2 linked regions of the Arabidopsis thaliana genome follow. The protein of the gene in region 1 interacts with the protein of each later gene in a pairwise test. Each region holds a gene or a part of one and is shown on either strand. Other genes may lie near its edges.

What was found. Proteins that work in one complex are often made in the same cells at the same time.
Region 2: the proteins of AT5G58720 (region 1) and AT1G68140 interact in a two-hybrid assay, tested with the Arabidopsis thaliana proteins (one large-scale study listed by BioGRID).

Annotation. Positions count from the first base shown.
Region 1 is NC_003076.8:23,719,136-23,725,044, forward strand, and holds AT5G58720 (smr (Small MutS Related) domain-containing protein), read right to left. Parts: upstream 4,041-5,909; 5' UTR 3,840-4,040; coding exon 3,200-3,839; intron 3,011-3,199; coding exon 2,985-3,010; intron 2,861-2,984; coding exon 2,774-2,860; intron 2,678-2,773; coding exon 2,607-2,677; intron 2,286-2,606; coding exon 2,059-2,285; intron 1,806-2,058; coding exon 1,729-1,805; intron 1,656-1,728; coding exon 1,599-1,655; intron 1,515-1,598; coding exon 1,447-1,514; intron 1,362-1,446; coding exon 1,255-1,361; coding exon of another isoform or gene 1,199-1,254; exon of another isoform or gene 1,135-1,198; coding exon 1,064-1,134; coding exon of another isoform or gene 974-1,063; exon of another isoform or gene 970-973; coding exon 841-969; 3' UTR 560-840; downstream 1-559. Other genes in the region: ROC7 (rotamase CYP 7), read left to right, coding at 1-50, 222-360; Mik (pfkB-like carbohydrate kinase family protein), read right to left, coding at 4,492-4,668, 5,305-5,909.
Region 2 is NC_003070.9:25,538,422-25,543,697, forward strand, and holds AT1G68140 (zinc finger/BTB domain protein, putative (DUF1644)), read right to left. Parts: upstream 3,403-5,276; 5' UTR 3,086-3,402; exon of another isoform or gene 2,373-3,085; intron 2,010-2,372; 5' UTR 1,994-2,009; coding exon 989-1,993; 3' UTR 503-988; downstream 1-502.

The DNA of each region.
Region 1 (5,909 bases):
CAAGATACCAACGGATCACAGTTTTTCATCACAACTGTAACAACCAGCTGGTGAGTACAGAATCATCTGAATTTCAAACACATAAAGCCAGTTTCTTATCTTTTACTTTCAAGTTGTTTGACAATTGTGTGGGCAGGTTACTACTTTCTAAGCTTAAGAGTTTCAATTATGGATAGAATTGTCGATATGTTGTTTCCGTCTGCTGATTAGAAAGTTTGCAGGTTGGATGGGCGACATGTGGTATTCGGGAAGGTAGTGACAGGAATGGATGTGGTGTACAAAGTCGAAGCTGAAGGAAATCAGAGTGGAACTCCTAAGAGTAAAGTGGTGATTGTAGACAGTGGTGAGCTTCCCCTGTAACTCAACAACTCTAGTTTTCTCCATCTGATCATCCATTGATGTGAGCTCTAGTGTGCTTGATGACTTTTGTGTTAAAACGAGTGTCTTGGTTACTTTATGAAAGATTCTACCGGCTTTATTTCTTTCGTCTGCTTTCTAGCTCGAGCTATGTCTGACTTTATACACAAATGTCTTTCAGTAGCAAAAATTCTGCACTTATGCCGTTTTGCATTGTCAACATTTGTAGAATTTATAGAAGTTACACGATAATATATATATCAGTAAACTCCTAAAGAAGAGTTAGCGAAAAATATACATTCTGTCTGTGTCAGACAAAGTGTTTTCAGAACTTAAATAACGTGAAATACGGAAAGGAAAAAGAAGGAAGCTAAGTTTTGCCCAACATTTACTTAACAACAGAGAGCTAGCATCAGATATAGACAAAATCGACATAAATTTTAAGATCTAAAGCTAAAACCTGACTTTAGTTTTAGTTATCACTTATTCATCAGAGTCACTCTCTGTGTCTAAGAAACTGAACTCTCTACTACCTCCGTCAAGCTTGATCAGCAGTGTCCCTCTGTTCTCTTCACAATACCTAACTCCTTCTCTTTCTAGCAGCTTTACCACCTGATCATATCCATAAATAACAATCATATACCATGACTGCAATACTAAATTCTTGTCTCCGGTTTTGCTGTGAAAGGGCGTTGAAGAAACTTACTGATTGTTTCACCTTAGACTTCCCAAACCCAGAAGCTCCACATCCTGTGATCACTCGTAGAGTCTGAATGGCTGGATGATTTCACAATTGTTAGGAGGAAGGTATTATCTCGGGTTTTATGATGACAAGATCTGACTATGATGATCTACTAAAGAAGAAAAGACTTATAATTGAGTTTGCTAAGTACTCACAAGGAACATATGATCCAAATAAGAGATGTAGCTTCAGTAGCTTCATTGCTGGTTTAACATGCTGACCATGCAGATCAATGGTTACCACATTCTCTATACCTTTGTTTCTGCATAGTCATAAACAATGGCTTAGTCCACCACAAAATGTTTAAGCGCATCAGCATACTTTGATAATGCATCAAAACAGCTAACCTTGCAACGAATATATCTTGGCTTGCCCTCTCATCAGCCCGTTGAGCTTGTTTAGATGCCACTCTTCCCTAAAAGAAAAACAACACAAGTTTCTGTCATACTGTCAAACAAAATGCCATGATACCATGATATATGTAAACCGTGATATGCACCTTGTCAGAAAGGTAAGCCGCATGAGCCCTCCCTCCTTTCGAATATGCTTCGGCAGCCTTAAACCAATTAATAAATGCATTAGTTGAGGAGTCTACCAGAGCCAGATATATGGAAGCAAGTAAAACTAACTTTTTGATAGTAGGACTTCGTAACATTCCACTGGTCATTTGCACCTTTTCTAAGTTCATGATAACTGTCATCCTTCACTGCAACACACGTACTGATTGATTGGTAATGCAATTCATGAGTAAGAAAGATTGATTCAAGAGTTGCAACACAAACAAGCAGTCAAAACTTCAGATGTTTATGCCAATGACACCAAAGCAAAAATTGCCAAGTGTTTCATCAGGTAAAACAACATACATCAGAAGCTCGAAGCCGGCAAACTCATGGCAAATTGAGCATGCTATTTGCAGCTATATACGCAAATACTAAAATCAAGAAACCATAGTAAAGTACCAAACGTATTAGGGTGAGGCTCTTCCCCACTAGATGAAGAAGCATCAATGCCAAGTGACTGCATTTTCTTTGCCACATTCCTCCAACTCGTTGTCTTTGATTCATGTTTAGGATTCTGGCGAATGTTGAACAGAGACTCCAACACTTTTTGTGGAAGACCAAGCTCATCAATTCCTTGGGTAGTTGCAAAAGGATCTTGAGAACTCATGAGAGCTTTTGCGTAGTCCCTACCATTCAGACAAAGAAAAGAAAAAAAGGCCAGATATTTAGTTTTGACCTCGTCCACAATGTTGAAATTAAGAAATCATAATGTAAGTTTTGGCGGTCTCATGAGTAATTTAGATATCATGTGTTCATGAACTGAATCCTCCACCATGAAATAGTTCGTTTGTTGTTCTTTCATAGAAGAGGATAAGGACTAATTAAAAGATAAGGAGAGGTTGCAGAGAGCTCGTTATCTTGTAACTAACGTGTAAATCAACTCTGATAATTCCAAAATCAGTGAATTGCAATAACAAGATGAAAGCCTAAGAAGCAAATAGAAGTACCTTTGACTATAGTCTCCACCCCAGAAAAGTTCACAATCAGAAGTATCAGTATCAAAAGATGACTCTGCCAGCTGTTAAATAATGTCAGGAGATTGCACTTTATTTTATCGTGTAAGAAAACAAAATAAACAGATCTATGAAGATTAACAAAAAAAACAATCACTTACACTATCGCTGACTCCTATGCCGAAACATTTACCACTCAATGAATCATCAGTTGATGAAGAAGACATGTCAAGCAAGACATTCAAAGCCTAAGAAGAAAACGCTATTAAGCTTTAAAATAAATAGTCGGGCAAGTATCAGCATATTTCAGGAGCTTCCCTGTCAATATACTAAATACTTCCCCATGTAAGTTTGAAGACAATCTCTGCTTACCATGTCGACATCATAGCCACATTGACCTACAAAAAATAGATACTTCCATGTCAATTCATCGAACAATCTAGTCTCTCCTCATAACATTATTACGGCTATATTTCGAATATCGCGGACACATTAAAACGTAATCCTATAACTATTAAGGATCATACTTTTCTACTAACATCTTCTCCCATGGAAAAATTAACTGACTAAGAAGAAGAAATACTCACACAAAACATCTCTAACAACAGCCATGCTAAGCTCGCAATCATCTCCAAGCATTGAACTTAAGAACTGTTCAGCTTTCTCTCTATCCGCAGCTTTTTTCCCGTTCCCACAGAGCTCTTTAGACCGTTCCATCATAGGAAACTCTTTTCGCACAGGGTTTGGCTTCAAGTAATCCTTCGCAATCACAGAAGAAACCATCCCTGTAGCAGCAATAACTCTACTCTGCTTGCTTCCCTTAAACCATCTATCTCTAGTCAAATCTTCGCTACAGCTAGAACTTGACCCTGCCCCATACTCAGAGGTAGACGCTGTTTCCTGACCCGAAGAACCACTCGCCACCGAACTCGTCGACGGATCATCACCGCTTTCCACCAGATCCGATAAAATCTCAGCGGCTTTGTTCAGATCTCCGCCTGCTTCCTTATAAGCAGCCATCGCTTCCTCCATTGAAACCGAGCAAAAGGCTTCCATTAACGATTCGATAAAATTTTTTCCAACGTTTTCTATCTCCCTCTTTCCTTCACCGTCCTTCCTCTCTTCCTCCACATCTTTTTTGTTCCCGTCCGACGTCGTTCCATCACCGGAAGGTTTCGCGGCGCAGGATCGCTTCTTCTTCTTCTTATGCTGGTTCTTCTGCTTCATTATCGTACAATTATAGATGAAATCGTGTCAACGCCGCTTCAATAGAATCTCTTCCGATCTGCAGAAGAAACTTAAACCCAGATTTCCGACGAGAAGCGTCGGAGAGAGGGAAGAGGCGTTTTAACCGTAAATCAGGAGTTAGTAATGGAGATGCCAATATCAGAGGAAATTTTTTGCTCGTCCAGACTTTTGATTGGGAATCGGAATCGCCACGTCAATCCACGCGCCTGATCGTGACCACGTTTTAAATCCACGCGCACGAATCAAACACCGAACACGGTTTCCTCCTGATTGTACATATATTGAACCGGTTCAACTATGCACCAGTCAAAATTAGATCTCCCACGTTGACTTTCGTAATTTTATCTCAGATTTGTTTTTGGTTTTTATATTAACTAGATAATGTGGCAACATGCGAATAGCAAATCATCTTATCCAAAACTTTTAAAACAAAATTTGACATCTTCATTTCGAATTTTGAAACGCGGAGTTGATAAACAAACTTTGCGGGAACGACCAGAAAGAGCGTTTGAAGACGCTGGTCAACGCGTTTTATACATTAAAATTTCCAAAATTCATCAACGTGTTGAAGCAAGCTTACACAACTCAGAAGAGCTTTGTTAGTAAAAAAAAGGTGATTCAAGATTCGTATTCACAGGGACCGATCATCACAAGAGTGACCATTGACCAATAACTTTGGTTGAAGTTGAGAGTCTACGCATGAAAACCGAGCTGGACTTAGACGCTCATGGAACTCGTTGTGATCGTTGTTATGGCTGCTAGATATGTTACACTGCTTCTTCCTTCTCTGTACCTCATCCTTGACTTTCTGCAAATCACAAAGACATATGTCACATAGAAATAACCGATGAAAGGGATGAATCCTTGTGCAGTGCAAACACAAACGCTATAAATCTTCTAATTTGCTTAATGTTCACTTGCACTAGCCAATGGTTCAATTATTATCCAATAACGCCCTCATTTCAACAGATACAACTACAAGAGATACACAGAAACACTCGCAAATACATCAAGAGATCCATACTTTTGAATTCTCTAATTGCTTAACCACATTGTTCGGTGAATGCTTAAACAACACTTTTTCCTGCATCTACCCTATGTTGAATGAAACTGCTCCTAGATTAACAATGAAGTAAAACAAGAAAAGACTCTCTCAGCAGCTGTGACTCGACAGAATCTCAAACAACAACTGTGAAGATTTGACACATTTTCAGATTGGAAACCTATCAACATCAAATACAGATTCTAGTTCACCCGCAAGATATAGGTTTGGCTGTATTGAAAGTAAGCTGCAAGATGTAACAGAGTTCTTTTGCTAGGATTATGTTAAAGACATTTGCATATCACTATCATCGGCTCTAAAAGTTCTTACTACTGTCTATTAGATTTGCAAATCTCTCACAGCATGCAATTCAGTAAGCTAATACGAGACCAAAAAACAAACCTGAAGCATCATCAAATCGAACTTTGGCTGACCAATATGCTCTACAGTGATGGAACCAAAGAGGTTCCCTAACAATGCAGCATCAGGAACAGTCAAACCTTCAACAAGCCCAACAATCAAACCTCCGAGAAAGCTGTCTCCGGCACCGGTAGGATCCACCTGCTTCGCCAAGAACGGAGGAACCGTCATTTCATCATCCTTATGATAAATCCTACACCCTTTTTCACCATTAGTCACCACCACACAACACAAGTGCTTCATTTGTTCAACATCCATGAAAAGAGCTTCGTCTGACGAAGCTTTCAAGAATCCAATTCGATGCAAGATGTGATAAAATCCACTTTCTTTCAAATCAACAAGCTTCACAGCTCCGTCAACAGGATCAAAAACCCTAATCAAAGCTTGAATATCCACAGCAACAACGTCACAGATCTCCACCATTTTCTCAAGCGTCTCCGGTAAAATCTCGCCGCCGACTCCAACGGCCATTCCGAAATCAAATCTCGAATCGGGTATATCCGAAGGAAGAATCGGATCACATGCAGAGACTCTTTTCAACACCCGATCAGCATGACCGATCCCATCGATTCCCAGATCGAAATACG
Region 2 (5,276 bases), on another chromosome or scaffold:
TTAATATTTTTTGTCAATTTGTTCACAATTACAGTCTATATATTCCTCCATTTATTGATTCTGTAATTTTGCCCAAAAAATGGGGACACGACAAAACTCGATAGCGACGAGTAAAAAAGAGTGAAAGGATAGAAGGAAGGTATCGTAAGAGTAAAAGGCCCCCACCATTTTGTTTATCGACATTTCCATCAAAATCAAAACTAATTACATAAAATCGATTATCGGTGAGGTATATTTTCCAAAACTCTAAGCGAACTGAATAAAAACCTCCGAATGCTTAACTTAAATAGTACACTAACACTTAAATAAGATCATGTTATTAACAAAAGTCAAAAACCAAACACATGTTTAATGTTGAGTGTTGTTGGTCGTAGAAGCTACCACATCGATACGAGGCAACTCTCGAAACCGAAAAACAAAACCAAACATATTTCATCTATGTTGGTGTATTTTCCAAAACTCTAAGCAGTAAACTAACTTTAGAAAAAAAACGAATGTTTAAGCTTAAATCATACACTTACACCAAAATAAAATCATGTTATTAAGAGAAACATACACATAACACTTGTGAGTGTGTGTGGTCTAAGTCTCTTAGAAGACTCTACAACGATTCATAGGTAAGTCTCTAAGCGCACATGGAATCTATAAACACAAGGAAACACAATTTCATAATTCGCTAAAAGACTTCATTGGTCATCATCACTGATCATGCTTATTCACAAGGATAGATATTTGTGAATTTTCCACCCAGAAAGTTACATCAGAATACAGTAAATAAAACATGAGATTGCAAGCCTGCTTCTCTAGCATATGAAAGAATTTCGAGTCAAATTCCCAAATTCTCCAATGGTGATAGCAGAAAGGCCAAAAGCCTTTTTTTGTTTTGTTTTAAACTTGTCGAAACTACATTTGTACCTAACCATACCATAAAGCTTACCTGAAACCCAAAATCAGACAGGGTTTTCTTTTGAATTCGTGTGATTCTCTCTCATCTAGGAGGAGGACCTGTGTTCTGGTTAGCTTCTCTATCTCTACGTCTCCTACCTGAACGTCCCAGCAGAACGCGTCCTTGTCGCCTCATTCGACTTGCCAAAGAGTTACTGTTACTATGCCTCTCCTCCTCCTCCTCTTCCTCTTCTTCTTCAGAGAAATTCAGCTCACTTGTTCCTCGGTTGATTGTTGTCGAGTCATTCGAATCTGAATCAGAGCGTCTGATCTGATTACCTGATGCCCCAAAAGCATGTAACAGAAGGAAAACATTCACAAGATTCCTACCAAATGCAGCATCGATCCCATCATCATCACCACCCTCGTCTGAATCTGAACCGTTGGCATTGTTCCTTTCAATTACGTAATCACCATACACCACTGTACCAGGCATTGTCGACCTAATCGTGCTCATAACATCGTCCCGGTCATGCTCGATCTCAAGCCTTCTCCAATTCTGCTCCACATCAGGATCCACTTCACGCGGCTTCGCACTAGGGTGGTCCACTTTCATGTGTTTCCTCAGCTCTTTGAAGGTTCCAGCATAAACACAGTTCTCCTGCATACAGATCCTCTTCTTAAGATTCAAAAAGTCACGAGCAGGCTGTACGATTGTCCAACCTTTCACCTGTCCTCTACAAAGTGGGCATGTGAGATTTCCAAGCTCAGACTTATTGATCTGTTGATGGCCCGATGTCTTCAGCTTAGCTGACGCTTTCTTGTACTGATCTAAGCAATTAGAATACCGGAAACTGGTTCCACACATGTAAGGACGACATCCCTTGTCATGAGATGAGCAGAGAAGAAGGACAGCGTTGTGTGGACACTCCATGCAAACCGAACATATAACATTCTCCCAATCCCTCTTCTCTAGACACTTTGAACAATCTTCCGCAAACATGTTTCTCGCCACAAGTCTTTTAGAAGATGGAAATTTGTATGGTTTTGCTCTTGCCCTGAAGCGTCGTGAAGGAACCCTACGTCCTGCCTTCCTAGCTTTGGCCATAATCTCAAAATCACACCTGTACAAATCCTCATCAAATTAGCAAAAGAACTCCACATAAAAGTTTGTAACAATACAAGTAGATATCTCTTCATGGAAACTACATATATTTTTCCAGTTCACCATTCAGCATACAACATGATTAGTAGTAGCATCCCACACTCTGATTTGGGAACTATTTCATGATAATGCTTTACATATGCATCTATAAAAGATATTTCACAACCTCATAGCAAACAAAGAGGGAGGTTCGAATAAACATGTTGAATTCATACATCCCTGGAATTGCATGATCAACAAACAATGCTAATCTATGAAACTTAAATCAAATCAAGGAACTCATACCGAAACGAAAAGAGATCAAACAAACGAAGTAATGTACCTCACTAGCTTGGAAGCCTAGAAAAGTGATTCAAACTCACAAGATAACTAACACAATGACAAAACCAAATCGACAAGTTATGGAAAGCAAACAGATGGAGAATCAATGTATAGAGATACCAAGAATAAAAACTGGTGAGACAAAGTCTCGCATCAAATCAAATACAGTTAATAAGATTACATAAAAGAAAATAAAAAAATAACAAAAGATGTGCAGACATGTTACAAGACAACCAAAAGGAACATGCTTCACAGAACAACTCACGCGACATGACAGTGAATCAATTATTAAACAAACAAAGGAGAAACCTTAGAATCTAATCTAATCCACATGGAACAAAGACCTTTGACACATCTCAGATCCATAGAAATTTATATAAAAATGTTAGCATAAATGTATAAGAAAGAACGAAATGCTCTCGATAACCCTAGAATTCAAAAACATAAGAATACACAGATGGATTCTGACAAGTTCAATTATACAATTCAACAAATTTTCAATGACTCATGAACCTAACCAGAAATCGGAAAAGTCATAGCTACACAAAATTCAGTTTTTCCAGCGGCGCACAAGTTCGAATTACATCAATATCTCGATAATCTAACACGGACCCACTAAAATCCGTAAGAAAAAAACACTAACCCAGATCGCAAATTAGACGAATAAGAGTAGAAACGAAGACAGAGAAGACGAACACGCAATAAAGACTTCACCTTTAGGGATTGAAATGAAAAAGATTAGGGTTTCAAGACACAGCGTAAGAAGACGAATAGGCTTGAATCGAGGGAGGGAGCGAGACCGAGAGAGGTAAGGTATTCAAAGGAAGAGAGGGAAGGAGGAAGACGAGTGGGACTGCGAGATTCGCGTGGAAGCGTCTCCACTGCTCCACCAAGCTCTGGTATCGGAGTTTCTCTTTCCTTCACGTCAAGTAAAACGTCCACGCGTCCTTACAATACGTAAGACTGACGCGCGTGCTTATTGTTTTAAAGGCCCTCTAAAAGTCCCTAATGGGCCTGGCCACGAATTAGACATATACTTATCCATAGTTAAAATTTGATATTGGACAGATCAATATATGGAGGATTTCAATTAAAGGTTGACTTAGTGACACAAAGAGATACAAAGAGACAATGGGAAATGCATTTGACCTTTTCTTAATTGTAATTATAAAATTTGAACGAGAGATATGGCTGCGGCGCCGCTTGCTCTCTTGTCCCACGTCTCCTCTGTCAAATGTTTTAGTTTTCCACTATATTACTATATGCTATATTTTTCTATATCTAAAATCAGCAAAAAGTTCTTTTTTGGTAAGATAAGTAAAACAAAACACATGCATATTCTTTTGACACATGCTTTCCCGTGTAAAGACGGATCATCATATTGTTGTGTTGAAATGTTAATCCAAAGTCCATAAGCTTGATTTGTTGTTGAAATGTTAATCTTAAGTCTATAAACTTTTTGGTACTCTAATAATATAGTAACTCCTCATATTGATAGTCATTCGATGATACTGCAACATTGTGTGTTTTGACTATAGATTTTATACAATTGTGAAACATTCATTATCCAATTTGATTTCTACGGATTAACCTCTTTTTTTTGTATCCGTAATCAACTCTGAATAAAATGGATACTTATAAAAAAAAAGTACTGTACGAAAAGTATATGTGGATAATCTTACATGATTTGCAAGTAACCTTATATTGTATGCTAATTCGATTTAAGATAACGATTTTATATAGGATTAGATCTACTAATGTAAATACTCTTAATAGATAGACAATTTCAAACGGTTGTCTCGGTAATAATATTAGTACAGAGCTGATAATTTTGTTGATAAAGTTTTTGGCAAGAAAGAAATTAAGTTAATAAAAGGACAGTTAGTATGAAAATAATAAAAATTAAAAGTCTTCTAGTTGACTATTTTTAGATCCGATCCCGAGGCAAGTATCTTGTTCTCGGTATTTTTGGTACGAATTATTAATTGCTAATTTGAATTTCACGTTAGTGATTATAATAAAAATAAATAAGATATCACATATAGACATCTTCTTAAAAGCACACTAACTAAAAGAAAAAAGAAAAAAAGAGACATGTCAAGTTTCTTTTATTTTTGTGTACATGTCAAGTTTGTAAACCATAGTTTATTGCTTAAATAAATCACATAACGCTTAAAAGAATCCAAAATCCGGACTTCACATATGTCACACATATTCTATCAACATAACCTGTATGTACATCGAAATCATAGAAAGAATATTTTAGGTTAGCTAGTAGCCTAGTACTAATGGGATAAATGAAATTAGTTATCCTTCTCTTAAAGATGAATCCTTGAGATCAAGAAATTTTGTGAGATTGTTCAACCAAACTAACAATAAAACTTATATTATTTGATACAATCTAAATATAGAATCAGTTAATTCTTTCTTTTTTCTTTCTCATATATATTTATGATCTCATAACACCAATTTGACTTTAAGAAGATATCTATTGAAATTTTCAAAACAACTTTAATAGGAAAATTCAAAATATATAGACAGCGCCATATTCTAGAATATTCTTACTCATTATGAATTTTTGAATGTTTTGATTTATAGACCTATCTATGATGTTGAATTGAGTAAATAAAAAGTTTAATGGTGCGTTTGATCTCACCCATCTTTTTCTTTATTCAGTATTCAATCTTTATAACTCTACCTTATTCGAAGAGATGAATTCATCTAGCTATAAACACATCAGTGACAAGTTTAAAAAAAATATCTACACGTTCGATGGTCTTCTGTATTTCACATGGTACCATCCATGTGAATGTGATGGGAAATTTCGCAGACCCTAATGCCGGCCATAAACTGGATTTACAAAACTAAACAATGTAATACAATTTTCAAAGAAACCGGATCTAAT